2 linked regions of the Caenorhabditis elegans genome follow. The protein of the gene in region 2 interacts with the protein of the main gene of each other region in a pairwise test. Each region holds a gene or a part of one and is shown on either strand. Other genes may lie near its edges.

Region 1 (8,124 bases), on a different chromosome or scaffold from region 2:
GTTTATCGATTCTTTTTCTCAGCGTTCTCTGACTTCCTATTTGATTATTTGGTTTTCCACGCAAAACTGAATTCAAAAATCATATCACTGTTGTTGAGCTTTTGTTTTGAATAGCAAACAGTTTAGCTTTCGAAATTCGGTGTTTTCAATGAACCGTAAGGCGTGTTTCGTCTTTTCTCCAAGCCAAAAGATACACAACAAATGAACACTGCCTTTTTGAGTCTCCAGAAACCGATAGACAACCTTGATTTGAATAAAGATTCTGTTTCGCTCAATTGACAGCAGCGATCTTTTTTCAATTCTTTCGTTTTTCTCACTTTCTATTTACTTCCCTAACTTTTCTCAATAAAAGTCTCCAAGAAGGGTAATTGATTCAAGGTGAGGAAAAAGGGCGAGAGATACATGTTTTGTTTTCCTGTTTTCTCCACTTGTTCTTTTTATCAGATCTATTTAATCAAAAAGGTTAAAACAAATAGTTTGTTTTACTATCGTCACCATAGGTGTGTGTGCGTGTGTGTTTGATATAAGATTTAATCGCAATTCGGCATGTTTCTTCTATTGTTGCCGCATTGGTTAAACACCAGTTTGGGGTTTTTTTGGAAGAGTATTTCAAGTTTCTGAAAGTTAAAGCATTTCAAATTTCAGACTAAGAATTTTACAGTAAGTGGTATTATAAATAATTGCATTGACCGCAAATTATTGAAAAAGCTTAGAATTTTTAAATAGAAATATTGTTTCAGCATTTCGTAGTAGTGCTGCAATATTATCTTATCGGAATAATTAATCTGAAAAGTTCAAACCGATTTTTAAATTTTGACAAATTTATTTTGAGTTATAAAACTCTGTTTGCGGAAAAATGGTTACTTTCCCAAAAAGTAATGAAATCTCACAAAACTAATTGGCCTAGCTCAATTCGAAAATTTCCACTTCCATTTTGCTTCACCGTTCTTTTTCATTTGAGCCACCCTACTTGTGCACCACTCGGACAAGTGCATTCTATTTATTCCATTTTCTTTTCATTGTGATTAACCATCCTGAATAAAATGTCTTGGGTTTTCTGCTCGGCGCCTCTTTCTATCTTTCTCCAAAATAGAGTACATGTAGACTTGAGTTTCTTTTCGGTCTTCCTTTTCTTCCCTCATTCCTTAAATTAGATTTGACATAAGAAGAACTTTATCGCAACAGGCGGATACCTTAAGGTTCTCATTCTTGTTTGCCGTTTATCGCTTCCATCGCAGACAAAAGTAGTGTGTTGGAGAATTTGACTGACGCAAAAACCACAAACATTTTAGGGTCAAATTCACATTTCCAATTAATATTTTTCAATATTACCGTTTGCCATGCTTCATAGGTAATTAGATGTATACACTTTCTCATGGCAAGTGTGCCACCCGTAGAGCAAATGTTATATAACGCAGGAGGTATGCAATAACCAAATTTTGTATACAAATCAGATGGCTCGCCATCGAATAGTCTCACGCTGAATGAACTATTTTTCGATCAATTCATGCTTTTTAGTACAGCTTTGTGTAAGCTGTGTGCTAGTAGAAATGTCAAATTATTTTCATGAAATTGTATACATCCGATTTAGCATATCTTAAAAAATCCTTATTTGTAAATACAGTTTCCGATAACTTGTGAACCCTTTTTTACTTAATTTGATATTTCAATCTTTAGTAAGTTCAACTGTTAACACCTTTATAACAGTTTTTCATCTTGAAAAAATGTCTAAAAATTTGACAAACAGAAATTTAACGTTAAAAGACCAATAATGAAACAGGAAAACAAGACAATATCAAAAGTAGGCCATCCATTTGCGCGGGAATTTAAACATAATTCAGAAAATCATCGCACATTTAGAATAATTTTATTATTTTTATTTTTAAATTCATATTTGTACACTACATCCCATTTTCATATTTGCAAAGTAATGTTTACTTTTCTAAACTTTGTGATTTTTTCTTGAATTTCAATATTTCAATCTCATTTTCAATTTTCTTAAACTTCAATAAAGTTTCAGATGATTGGAAGAAAAGAGAAGGAACGGGAACGTCCATACTATCGAGACCCAGATGACCCTGAATATATCAAAGATTTGCAAAGACCGGCAGTAATCAAAGTAAGTGCTGCTCCAAGTTTTTCCGTAAAAAAAACTAGAGCACATCAAGTTTTCCCTCCTCAGCTCTCTTTTTTCTCTTTTTCCAAGAACTTCAATTAATGAAACCTGCCATTATTAGCGCAGTGTCATTTTTTGAAAAGACTTGGGAAATTGAATGGAAAATGCAAGAGAAGAAGAGAAAGGAGTGCTCGCTCTTTAATCAGCTTAAAAGATGGATGAGAAATGCTCTATTTTAGGAGGATTTGTCAGAGATGGAGAGACGGAAAAGAGTGCAACAGATACTTGAATCAAAATCATTCTGCCACGAGCTAGAAGAAGTTATTCGTCAGGTTTGTAATTTGTCTTTTTTCTCGTTATTTTGTTTCAATAAATGTAATTTTGTACAAAACATTTTACATCTAGGAGTGTGATACAGCACGTACGGATCCGGATCACTTGCAAGTACTCCAGAAACTTTCGGACCTCACAGTTCCACAAGGAAACATGTCGTTTGGCAACCTTCACACATATGGTTTGTATTATATTTTGGAATAATGTATTCGAAAAACGGATAACTTGGTTTTTTTTCCTTATTTTGACAAAAGAAACTCGATTTATGCTTATTCACACGAGGAGTTACAACATGTTATAATGCAGAAAACTTTCCTATACGAATTTTAGCTATGCTGAAACCTTGTGACACAAAAGTAGATATACTTTTTTTGTTTTTCTAGTAAAGTATTATAATATCAAAAATCTAAGATTCCCATGCATAAACAAAATTGCAATATTTTTACAAACTTGAACTTCTGTAAGTTGACAATTTCCGATAAATCATGTAATCTATGTTTCAGGTGGAAACACCATTGCAATTGCTGATCTTCGTGGAAACGAGAAGTATTCAAAAGCGGAACGTATCCAGAGAAACAAATTGGCATGCTTGTTTCGACTAGCTGACCTGTTCCAGTGGTCACAAGGGATTCATAACGAAATCTCGGTAGGGTGCTTGAAGTATTGACTTTTTAAAATTACCACAAAAATTTAAAACTTGAACCTGTGGTTTAAAGTAAAATTTTGCAATCAACCAAATTTATTTTACAATATAGCAAATACAACGCGTGTAGAAATTGTATGAATTTCAACTTTATTAAAATACGAAACTTCTGAAACAGCTGCCAAAATGTAAGGATTAATCAGCTTTAAATTGGGATTTTTTTTGTTCAGTGTTGTGTTCCGGTTACACACCACTTTATTTTCCGACGTGAGTTAACTAGCAGGTCCATTAACGACGTGTTTAAAAAAATGTATTAAAATTATATTTCTATGAAACTTCTACAAAAGTAAAAACACCATATTTACCTTTCTAGAAGAATTTTAACAAAATTGATTTAGTATCGAACCAACGATGAGGATAACACTTTTCTGATGAATCCATTTGGTCTTCTCTACCATGAAATCACTGCTGCGACCATCGTGAAGATAGATGAAAATGGAAAAATTCTGGATTGCGGGACACTGAAAGCTGGAGTCAACCAGGTACCTTTAAAATCAAAAACGACTTATTTTTGCACTCATCAAGTTAAGCCTGCGTTTCTTCTTCATTCTGCAATTTACAAAGCTCACCCAATGGTCAGATGCATTCTTCATATGCACACGGCAATTGTGGCGGCTGTGGCTAGTATGAAATGTGGTTTATTGCCTCTATGTAAGGAAGCAATGGTGCTTGGGCCAGTTGGATATCACGATTATCAGGTTAGCAAAAATATTGAATTTGAAGAAAAACAATCACTTGTGTGGTTATTTTCATAATCTGAAAAATTTAAGTGTGAACGAGAGAAAATTGAAAATCTGAAGGTTAAAGAAACTAGAAGCAAAATCGGCAACCGTTTTTTAAAATTATTTTTTGATGATTTTTTTCCAGTCAAAGTTTTGGTACTTTGCCAAAATTTGAAAAAGTTTATCATGTAAATCGGTAGTTTTAGTACTTAAAGTAGATATAGAAAAGTTCATCGTCGACCTTCGAACGGTTTAAATTTTCATTAACCTTTCACATGACTTTAACTATAAAATCAAAAAAATTGTTGAATTTTCTTTTCAGGACATTGGTGATGATGATATTCAATTTGACGAAATTATTGCAAATCTTGGAGACAAAAACGTGCGTTAGCTTTACTTTGAACTGCTTTTCTATCCGCTTTTCTATGCTTCGTTTCAGGTCCTTTTCCTCCGCAATCAAGGATTCCTTGTTGTCGGTGACACTATCGAGCATGCCACTTTTCTAGCCAACAACACTGTGATAGCATGCGAAACTCAGGTTTTTGAAGTTTCTCATATTTAAAAATTACACGCTGCCCTGCCGCCAGTAGTTCAATTCTATCGCCAAATGCTTATTTTTTATGAAATGACGATGGGATTAAAACATTTAAGGTTCTGCTGATCAGAGGAGAAGGATGTTTTGTTGTTGGAAATTCCGTTGAAGAGACATCTATAATTATGCGCAACTTAGTCACTGCTTGTGACCATCAGGTTTAGAAAAGTTATAATAAATGAGAAATATTATTTCATATCAAATACAAAATACATAATCAAAGTTTCCAAAAACAAAATATTTTTGTAAGGTACGTGCCGCAAGGGCTGGACTTGACAACCTCATCATTCCGGAAGAGAAAGCAATACAAAGAGCGTTCAGAAATTCTCGAAATAGTAAGATTCTGCAATATATATTGAAATTTAAAATACATCTATAATGCTTTTGTAGCGAATTCCCTGAAACGAAATGGAACAGTTGATTGGAGAGTCGGAGAATTAGAATGGGAGTCTTGGATGAGAGTGTTGGATCATGCGGTGAGCAGAATTTTTTCGCCCTGCTCACAGTTGTTTCACTAAAAATTGCTACTAATTATAGAATTTTCAAACCGGGCACGTCTATCGTCAACCACAACTGCGGCCCAAATCTGCAATGTCTACGTCAATGGTGAACAACAATGATGTTGCTGTTCCGCCAACTACATCAGCTTATGGACAAATTGATGAAACAAACTTGGAAAGTGTATCTGCACATCGTCTGGCTTTACTGCGCAAGGAGCAGGAGCGGGTTCGTTGGATGAACAGTCCAAATGCATATCAGAAGGTTGAATTTTTGGAGTATGGAGCAGATAACCCAAAGAAGATAACTAAAGTAAGAACTGTTTTCAACTTTTGCAGTACGAAAATAAAATTTGTACATGAACTTCTGATGGTTTGTGTCATTATGTTTACACAGTTATTTTCATATAAATGTACAAAAAAATTTGAAGAAACATTAAATTAAAAACTATAAACAGAGATTTGAAAACCCAAATAGCTATGATATGGGTGGGCCCTACTAGTGAATTTTTGTTTTGGATAATTTCTATGTCACTAATTTTTGGATTGTTGTCATTATGCACATTATGAATACATGTTATGCTAACGCAATAAAAAAATGTATTTTTCAATATTGGAGTAGTGTCAGAAAATGTTCAAAATTGCTCCAATACCAACTATCGATTCAGGCTGTGCCTAATTGTGTTTTGAAAATTTTGATCCGCAATAAAAATATGTATTAAAGTTTTTTGAGAAGTCTCATTATAAAATTCGGTCGCATTTGGTTATTGAGTTCAAATTAAACATCTATGATAAATCATTGGAGAAAAAATTAATTTTAAAGTGTTTTAAATTTACACAAGTTCAAATCATTTCAGTGGGTTCATGACGTCAACGTTCCATCCGCGAGTGGAACCCCTGTCAAAATCAGCAGTGTTCATCAATTCAGTCCTGCGTCTTCAAATCCTAAAGAATTTAAAGAAAAACAAAAAGCTATCAAAGAAAACAACAGACTGGGAACTCTTTCTGCTGGACCACAAAGCCAGATTTTGGACAGTGTGACATATGAAGACATTGCACTATTGATTAAAGTGAAATATCCCGTCTTGAAAATTCATTTATTATTTTGTAATCTTTCAGCCTGATAATGACGGAACAGTCGGACAGAGCTCGACCGCTGACCGAGCAATACTTATCGGAACTGCCAGCAAGGGAATCATTGATAGGCAATTTCAGCATCATGCTCAGGTGTACCACCAAATCTATGCGCCGAATCCATTCTCTGTAGAAACTGATGCAGACATCAAGAAATATGTAGACATGGTGAAGGCCAAGAACTCGCAAAGCGCTCCTGTCTCAGCGAGAAGTGGTTACTCTCAATACGATGAGGTTGAAGCTGGTAAGGTAGCTGAAACAAAAAAACAGCAATTTTTAAAGTCGTTTTTGAAAACGAAAACTGAAATTCCTTTATTTAAAACGTAATAAAATAAAATAAACACTGCAAAAAATCCATGTTGTGTTGCGAGTTTTTAACTGAAAATCTGGGGTTCAAAACACTTGTGGGATGCCACTTGTTTTGAGTATGTTCTTTTTGGCTCCACTTACAAAATATATTTTTGAAAATATATTGCTGACAAAGGTCTAAAAATAGCTTCTCTAGTTGTAACCAGCCGATTTTCAAAAATTATTCCAGATACAGTTTCCTTAATGCAAGGAGTACGAGAACATAAACTTTCTCAAGCGGCTCTGAGCGCATCTGACGACGGCCTGAATGCCGGAATCTCCCCGAATAATGGTAATTTTTATGTGGTTGCTCCTTCACATTTTATCGATGCGCCTGTTTTCTATCGCTTTGTTTTCCAGTGTTTTAAATTATTTGAATGCCTATTTTCCATATTTCCAGTCCGAACTTCCGAAGAAAGCGTCAATACGTCGTACATGAGCCAGTCAGTTGTGTTCGATTGTAGGTTTATTTTCCTTATTCTTTCTGTGTAGCATGTGTGTGGTGGCTTCAAAGCTTTTTATAACTTTCACAGATTTTCTAACTCTTTGTGTACAGGCGATCACCCTTCTCCGATGTCAATTTCGACAGAGTACCCTGAAAAAGTTAAAATGACGCGATTTTCGTCGACTCAAGGAACAAGTGAAGGTATATTTGTAACTACGTGGTGTCTATTTGTGTTTTCACTTTTTTTTCGAGCGCATCAGCTAACTAATCAATAACTGAGTTGTAACATTTAGGCAATACAACGTCTCGATCGTGCACTACAGCGTCTGAAGAAGAAGTAAGAATTTTTGGAAGCAAATAGTTTTTCAAATGTTTCAAACTTAAAAAAGAATGAGGTTTCTTGCCATAAATAACAGAAAAACTATAAAGTAATATATTAAATTTTTAATAATGTTTTTTTTCAAATTAGAAGTTTTTTTTTGATATTTTAACAATTTCTGAAAAATTTTAAAAAAATTCAATGAAAAAATTAAACTTTTTACAGTTGTATTCTCTATATATAAACTGTTTTCTGTTATTTTGGGCAAAACCCCACTGACTCTACTCTACCTTCAAATAAGATTGAAATATTTGCTAACTTCTCTGCTTTTGGGACTAATCAAGCACTTATTTTACACCGTTTTTTATTTCAGAAGCCTACAAAAGATGAGAAAAAGAAGAAAAAGAAAGGATTTTTGTCATTTATGCGAAAAAAGGACAAATGAAAAATGAGAGTTTTGCTCTCACCTTGCTCTCACCAACACGTTCACATCACTTAACTCTAACACTTTTCGATAACTTTTTCTATGTTTTCTTTTCAATTTTCAGATCCGGATATACTACGCCCAATTTACCGTCAAGAAACATATGTCTAGTCTCTGGACTTTTCTTTCTTTCCCGTGAACTTTCAATTCCGGTTATGGATAATAGCAACACTCTGTGCTTTGTCTTTTGTTTTTCGAATATTTTTAAAATGTCATTTTGTACGCATATTTTTTTTATATTATGTATTTGCATTTCCATCAAGTTTTTTATACTTTCATCTATAAATAATTATATTATATTACAAAAAAAAGCCAGGACAGAGAAGAATTCGGCAAAGTGACTACGAAAATAGCTTTTCTCAACGAATTTAGCAGATTAAAAAAGTTATCCAGTTTATTTTTGGTTGTTGCTATAAAACTCAAAGTGCTCG
Region 2 (6,683 bases):
AATCTATTGAGACTTGGACACCATCTTTCCATTCTCCCAAGCAGTGGTCTTCAAGGTGGCTTGGGGCTTCTTCACGTTGGCGCCTCCCTGTAATTTTTGATAATTTTTGCGATTTTTCATACTTTGATGTGGGACAAAAATGTGTGAACCTTTAGGAGCCCAGTAATTAATTACCGGTAATTTTCAGAAACATATTACTTAATTGAAACCTATAGGTTATAACTTGAAAAATGATAAACAGAAAATTAACGGAACGGGTTACTGTACCACTTAAAGGGGCATATATTGTTATTTAAGGGTCCAACAAACCTTGGTGCACTGACGAACGACTTGTGCGGCGATTTGTGAATAACGGACGTAGTTGAGTCCAGCAGCTCTCCAGGCGACCATTTTTGATTTTGGGGGAAAGTTATTTAACCTTAATTTATACTATAAAATAATAAAATTTTCAGAAAAAGGAAGTAAATTGAAAGGTATGGAGAACAACCTTTAGACTAGAGAAATCTGTAAAATAAAAAATAAAAACTTTATACAGTCAAAGTTCAACAGGAAACTTGATAATATTCGAAAGTTACTGAATAATAATTAGTTGGTCCAAAATGGAAACAAAACTATCAATAAATATTTAATTACATTAAACTTATTTCTCATAGTTTTCAATGATATTCTCACTCCAGAACACTAATCAGTTAAGCTCATGCGTTTGTTGGTTATTCTTGCTCGTATGTTATTGTAAAATCTTGTTTAAAAAACAGCAAAACGTTTATTTAATAACAGAAAAAATAATAATTTTATTTACTGGAAGAGCAAAAGATACAAAAAAATGAATTACGCAATTGGGATGTGCGGGGATTTGGGGGCCGAATTGTGCAGAAACGAAACAAGTTGATTTCTTATGAAGAATGATAGGGGGATTTAGCAAGCAAGCTTTAAAGACACTCAAACGCATGCAAAAAACAATCATAGGAGTGTTGGTGGGTGACGGGGGGAAGAACCAGACAAAACCTCGTGTCAGATTAGTAAAACTGAAACAGGAAAATCGTATAGAAACAGACTATTAGAACAAAAAGGCGGAAAAAGGCAATTTGGGTGGGGGTGGAGGGAAGCTTTAAATACTTTTAGCTTTTGAAGTTTTGTATTCTACATGGAAGACGAGAAGCCAAGGAACGAAATGGGGAGACACAACCAACCAAATGAAGATATTTTTGTTGAAACTTCCAGAAGCCGCGTAATTGTATAAGTTACTAGATTTTAAAATAAACAGAAAAGCCCATCGAAAGTATATCACAAAGCCGGGAAAAGAAGAGAGATAGAGAAGCATTTGAATGTCAGTCTTCAGTGTATTGATTGGATCAAAGAAGACGATGAGTTGATGTTGTTGTTGGGAGACATTATGCTGAAAAACTTTGATTAGTGAAAAATGGACGGACAAAAGACTGTTAAATTTGATAATACGGTAGGAAGAAAAAGAAACACTCACTCTAATTCTAATTCATAGTATAATTACTTGTGAAAAATTACATGAGCACTAAAGAATTTTTAAAAAAATCTTAAATTTCTGCAATCAACTGTGAAATAGTCATTTTTGATGGTATCTGATTGCGAGATGTTGAAGGTGTAGATGTCTGACTAAACACACCGTTTGAGCCATTTGGAGCTCCTTGTGACATTCCTGCTGACGGAGACGTATACACTTGTCCTGGACGGATTGGCTTCACAATTTGTGGAGCATTCATTCGTCGCATGTTACGTTGTCGAACAGCTTCCTTGATTCGTTCAACTTCTTGTTGATACTTCTTTCGTTCTGCTTGACTACGTTGCTTCGAATCACGAAGAGCAGTTTCTAATATTTTGATGCGATCTTCACGACCACGAAGACGAGCTTCCATCTTTGGCAGTTCAACGCGCAAATCGGCATTGTCGCGAACAAGCTGAAAATTCAAGTTTTAAGATAATCAAAATGAGAATAAAAACGACAAACCTGCTTGTGAACCTTCGTCAACTTGTCCAAATTGTTCTCCAAGAACTGAATTCGTTGCTTTTGAGCTGGTCCACTGAGAGAATCTTCTCCCTCGGTGTCTTGATTGGCTTGGCATCGAGCAACAAGTACTCTCATGAACTCCTTTTTCAAATTCTTCAACGTTGTAAGCTCCATATTGACACGATCTGTTAGTGGCTTGATCTCCTTTGCCGCCTGATCCTTCACCAGCAATTGTTTCATTCTACCCGCGTCTTGACCAGATTCAACACGAGCAACATCAGCTGCAAGTTTCGCTTCAGCATCATGCTCGGCAGCTGTACTGCTCTCTTTCGCAGCAGAGTATTCTGAGAAGAGTTTTGAAACTCCGATTCTGACATGGTTCAGAAGATCGTGATCAGGAAGTTGATCATTTTGAGAGGCAATGTCAGCAATGTTGAATTCACGAATAACATTGTAGATTCCTTCTTTGAAATGACGGATTTTTGGACCACATTCGTCAAGATGAGCATTGAGGAGTGATGTTGCTTGGTTCATTCGATCTTCCAAACTCTGGTTATCTTCTTGAACAACTTCCAACTCTCTCTTCAATTTTTCGCATTCTGCTTGTCGAACATCCAAGTTGACAGCAATCTCTTCCAGAGCTGTCATCATTTCCTTTCCTTCTTGCTGCTTGTCTTCAGCTTCTTTTTGGAATCGGTTGTTCTCTTCACGGATCAGCTCCTCGTTTTCACGCATAGTTCCCAAAGCTTCTTCTTGGAGAAGAACTTGTTGTCTAAGCTTCTCAAGCTCTTGCGAAACTTTTTGAATCTCATCATCTTTCTCGTCGAGTTGCTGATACAGTTTGACACGTTCCTCTTCGTACTTCTTCTTCTCTTCGTCAGTGATCGGGCCAGTTGTAGAAGTTAGCATTGGAGGAGCTGGAGCAATCGAACGTTCCATGAGTGGAGTCGACCCACCAGAAACTTCCGACACAGCCATTTGAGCAGAATCTGATAGATTGACCCATTCAACCTCAGACACTGATTCTCCAGCACGCCAGCGTGAAAGTTCCAAAGCCGCTGCCTGGAGAAGGGCGGCCAATCGAGTATTCTTCTCTTTTTCTTTCTCATATCGCCGTTTCCATTCTTCTGCTGTGAGCTCTTCGTTGATTTGTACAACATTCTTGATAGTCTTCGCACGTGCTCCGAACAAAAGTGTGGATTTAGTTTCAGCTTCGTTGAAATGTGACGGAGAAGCACAAATAATAACTGTAGTACGGGAATTTCCTCCTAGAGATTCTTGAAGAATACGAGTCAGTTTGGAATCACGATATGGAACATGAGATTTCTGAAATAAATATTCGTTTTAAGAAGGTCATAATTTAAACAACTCACAGTTCCTTCAGCCAATGCTGAAATAACTATTCCGAGTGCAGTAAGTGACTTGTTGATGTTTTTGGCTTCTTCTAAAACTGTTCCTTGAGCTCCAGTTTTGCTCACTTTCTCAGAACCAGCCAAATCAACAAGATAAAGCTTTCCGGTGAGCTGTTTCTTTGTTGTCTGATGTTCTTGTTTCACAGTAATCAAGAAGACGGAATGAGATCGAGAAGAATGTTCGTTCATGTCTGAAATTTCGTTCACATGTTAATTTGTTTAATTTTAAGTTTACTCACTCGTAACTGCAACCATTCTGTTGGATTTTCCATCTTCGATTGCCTGAAGAACCTCATCGGGTCCTCCAACAAACCGTTCGGTGGCTCCCTTCACGTATGGCACTCGATTTTTATCTTCATGAATGGACAAATTGACCTTCTCGGGGTCTAATAAATCTCGAATCTTCTCGTTGTAAATTTCATAATAGGACACTTTGATGTGAAATTGAAGATTCTCGTCCATACTATAAATGTGGTTAAAGATGTCAGCAACGATACGTGGAATGATTCCCGACAAGCCATTATCACCGATTACTCCCTGTAAAAAATATGAAAATAATTAAATTATATTGTTAATTTCATCGAGCGCCGAATATTTTAAACGTAAAAATTATCAAAAATCTTTCGGGCATTCGATTTCGGAAATAACTGCTGAAAATTAGTTCTCAAACTTTTCTTTTCATTAATCAGTAAAGATTTGCACTGTTGATATTACAACTTGATTGTCTTTGTCGCATTCTACGTAATTATCAAGGTTTTCATAATTCCTACCTCCATTGTATGTGTTTTTCCGGAAGATGTTTGTCCATATGCAAAAACTGTTCCATTATAACCGGATAATACATCCTGTACGATGTGATAAGCGGCTCCTTTGTACACTTGCTCTTGCGTGGTGTTCGGCTTGAACACTTTATCGAACACGTATACTTTTCCCTGAAAAATTCCAACAAATCAATCGATATATATATATATATTCAACTTTGCACTTTTCGTGTACTTTTCAAACAGATGAATGTGTCATGTGAGAGAATTGACACACCTGCATCCCCCGTGCTTCCCGTCCCTGTTGACATAATTGTTCCCTATGACCCCTTTGTATTACTCACCCCAAGCGATATACTGTCCTCGGAAGGGAATTTGGGCAGGAAACGGTCCGCATTCTTCTCCTCGGTCTTATTGAGCGGCCGAATACGACAAAATACCTGAAAACAATATGAAATTGGAAAATCTAGGCGGGGAAAATTAATACCTGGACACCGCATTCTGCTCCGTCTGTCCGCGGCTCCATTTTCAGAGAATAATGATCACCAGTTGGCGGTTTGTAACGGCGCCTATCGTATTAATTACCCGGCTTCTCCTTACAATGCCTGCAATAAGTATAATCAATATGCTGAGTAGAGAACAAGAAAAGATGACGAGATGCAAGAGAAATAGAGAAAGGAGGAAACGGCAAAACATTGCGAAATTTCGGAATATTTCATCACTCGTCTCGTGCGCGATGCACAGAAGCTGCGAGTTTTGTTTGATTGGGCGGCTTTGACAAAAAATAAACTAAAGGCTCATAGATTATGGATAGACAACGGAATGATAACAAAATAACAAAAACTGCAACGTTTGTACTGAATATTCAAAATTTTCACACAGAAAATAGAGAAATAGAAAAAGACTGGCGTCGATCAAACGTGGCACACACAAATTTCACAAATTTATGCATTTTTGGTTAAATTGTTCGAAAAATGAGTTCGGAAAATGTTTTATAATTGAAATAATAGCTTCAAAACAACAGGAAACTTCTGGAAACAATAAAAGTTTTTCCCGCGCGGAAAAATGTTTTAGTTGGCAATTTGTCGTGAAATCTTGGGTTTTTCGAATTACGTACGTTTGCCTATCGTATTTTCGGTCAGATTAATTTTTAATTTCAGTTTTCTTTTTTTTTTCAGCAATGCTTATTTAATTACTTATTTATATTTGACATTTTATGTATATGCGCGAGAATTAAAAATTAAAAACAACTTGCAAAATCTCGTACATTTTCAAAATTTTATACTATAAAATTAACACCATCCAGCAGTGCTCAGTAAACCCGTTCATAATATACCCAGATTTAAACCAAATTAAAACCGTACAAGCCTATATTGTGAATTTATCTGCACAAATTTGGTTTGGATCTACACAAAATCGATTTGGAAATACACAAACCTACACAAATTCAGTTTACATCTACTCAAACTTGCAATCTATGCAAATTAAGTTTGGATCTAGACAATCTTGGTTTACATCTGCCCAAAATTAGAATTTTTCATAATATAGGCTTGTACGGTTTTAATTTGGTTTAAATCTGGGTATATTCTGAACGGGTTTACTGAGTGACAAGAAAGACAAAGTGAAACTGAAATCGCAAATCCAAAAACTAACATTTCTCCACGATACTTGTCTCTTAACTTTTCGGAATGAATATTAGCTTCAATATTATGCAATAACATATGGATAAATGCGGTTTTAAATAAATTTCATAGATAAATACACAAACTAAACAAGATGAGGATATCCGAGGGCAAATAAGGAGACTCAAACCAAATATGGTCATCAAATTGACAATGAGTAATGGCCAATACGACACGATACGGCAGATGGTGAAGGAAGGCGGGGGAGACCGATTCGGATGCGAAAAAGAACGATAAGAGAGAAAAGACACTGCAGGTGGGAGTATTGTGTTCAGTAGATTTTCGTGGTGGGACCTAGAGGATGGTCGGTGCAAAAGCTTCATTGAAAAAGAGTGAAACGAGAGGAGAGACACACTCACAACATTCATTCGTTTGGCGGGAAAAGAGACGAGGGAAGACTTTAGTATTGGGTGGTAGAAAGAGTTGGAGAAAGAAATTCGAAGGGATACAAGGAATGTATTGGCATCGTGAAGAGACACAGAGATACATCCGTGGTTCCCTGTGTTCTCTTCATTTTGTATAATGTTTTATTCTCGGTCAGAGGGACAACGGACGGCCTCTTCAAACACTCACAGAACATTCGCTCACTGCGCTCACTAGTAGAGAATAAAGGAAGTTACGAGAGAATGAAACTTCGAAGATAAATCAATTTTATTTTTTAAAATCAATGTTCGTAAACTTCGAATTAAGTGAAACCGTAATTTGAGATATATGAGTTTTGTTTGATCATCACAGCTACCATTTTCTCGGTCCATAGCCACATTGAGACAATGGATCTGATTCTGGTGGTTGATGATATAGTGGTGCATATCCTGCTGCTGCAGATGGATCATAGTGATTTGATGAA

The links.
Region 1: the proteins of unc-116 (region 2) and add-1 interact in a two-hybrid assay, tested with the Caenorhabditis elegans proteins (one large-scale study listed by BioGRID).

The regions. Positions count from the first base shown.
Region 1 is NC_003284.9:4,853,933-4,862,056, reverse strand, and holds add-1 (Adducin-related protein 1), read left to right. Parts: upstream 1-2,013; 5' UTR 2,014-2,020; coding exon 2,021-2,119; intron 2,120-2,355; coding exon 2,356-2,448; intron 2,449-2,521; coding exon 2,522-2,630; intron 2,631-2,952; coding exon 2,953-3,095; intron 3,096-3,214; exon of another isoform or gene 3,215-3,364; intron 3,365-3,490; coding exon 3,491-3,634; intron 3,635-3,682; coding exon 3,683-3,850; intron 3,851-4,196; coding exon 4,197-4,256; intron 4,257-4,313; coding exon 4,314-4,412; intron 4,413-4,716; coding exon 4,717-4,801; intron 4,802-4,856; coding exon 4,857-4,942; intron 4,943-5,003; coding exon 5,004-5,276; intron 5,277-5,820; coding exon 5,821-6,033; intron 6,034-6,082; coding exon 6,083-6,341; intron 6,342-6,635; coding exon 6,636-6,737; intron 6,738-6,845; coding exon 6,846-6,905; intron 6,906-7,001; coding exon 7,002-7,091; coding exon of another isoform or gene 7,092-7,165; intron 7,166-7,183; coding exon 7,184-7,227; intron 7,228-7,582; coding exon 7,583-7,654; and 4 more. UniProt on the Caenorhabditis elegans protein: Membrane-cytoskeleton-associated protein that promotes the assembly of the spectrin-actin network. Plays a role in time-dependent memmory loss and the retention of conditioned behavior over time.
Region 2 is NC_003281.10:8,350,416-8,357,098, forward strand, and holds unc-116 (Kinesin heavy chain), read right to left. Parts: upstream 4,760-6,683; 5' UTR 4,681-4,759; coding exon 4,642-4,680; intron 4,595-4,641; coding exon 4,499-4,594; intron 4,326-4,498; coding exon 4,164-4,325; intron 3,931-4,163; coding exon 3,633-3,930; intron 3,585-3,632; coding exon 3,355-3,584; intron 3,308-3,354; coding exon 1,982-3,307; intron 1,932-1,981; coding exon 1,640-1,931; intron 1,397-1,639; coding exon 1,392-1,396; 3' UTR 749-1,391; downstream 1-748. Other genes in the region: R05D3.6 (Putative ATP synthase subunit epsilon, mitochondrial), read right to left, coding at 4-87, 310-390; Putative RNA-binding protein R05D3.8, read right to left, coding at 6,572-6,683. UniProt on the Caenorhabditis elegans protein: Microtubule-dependent motor protein required for organelle transport. Plays a role in endosome transport. Required for the transport of mitochondria along the axon of motor neurons. Involved in the nuclear migration of hyp7 hypodermal precursor cells.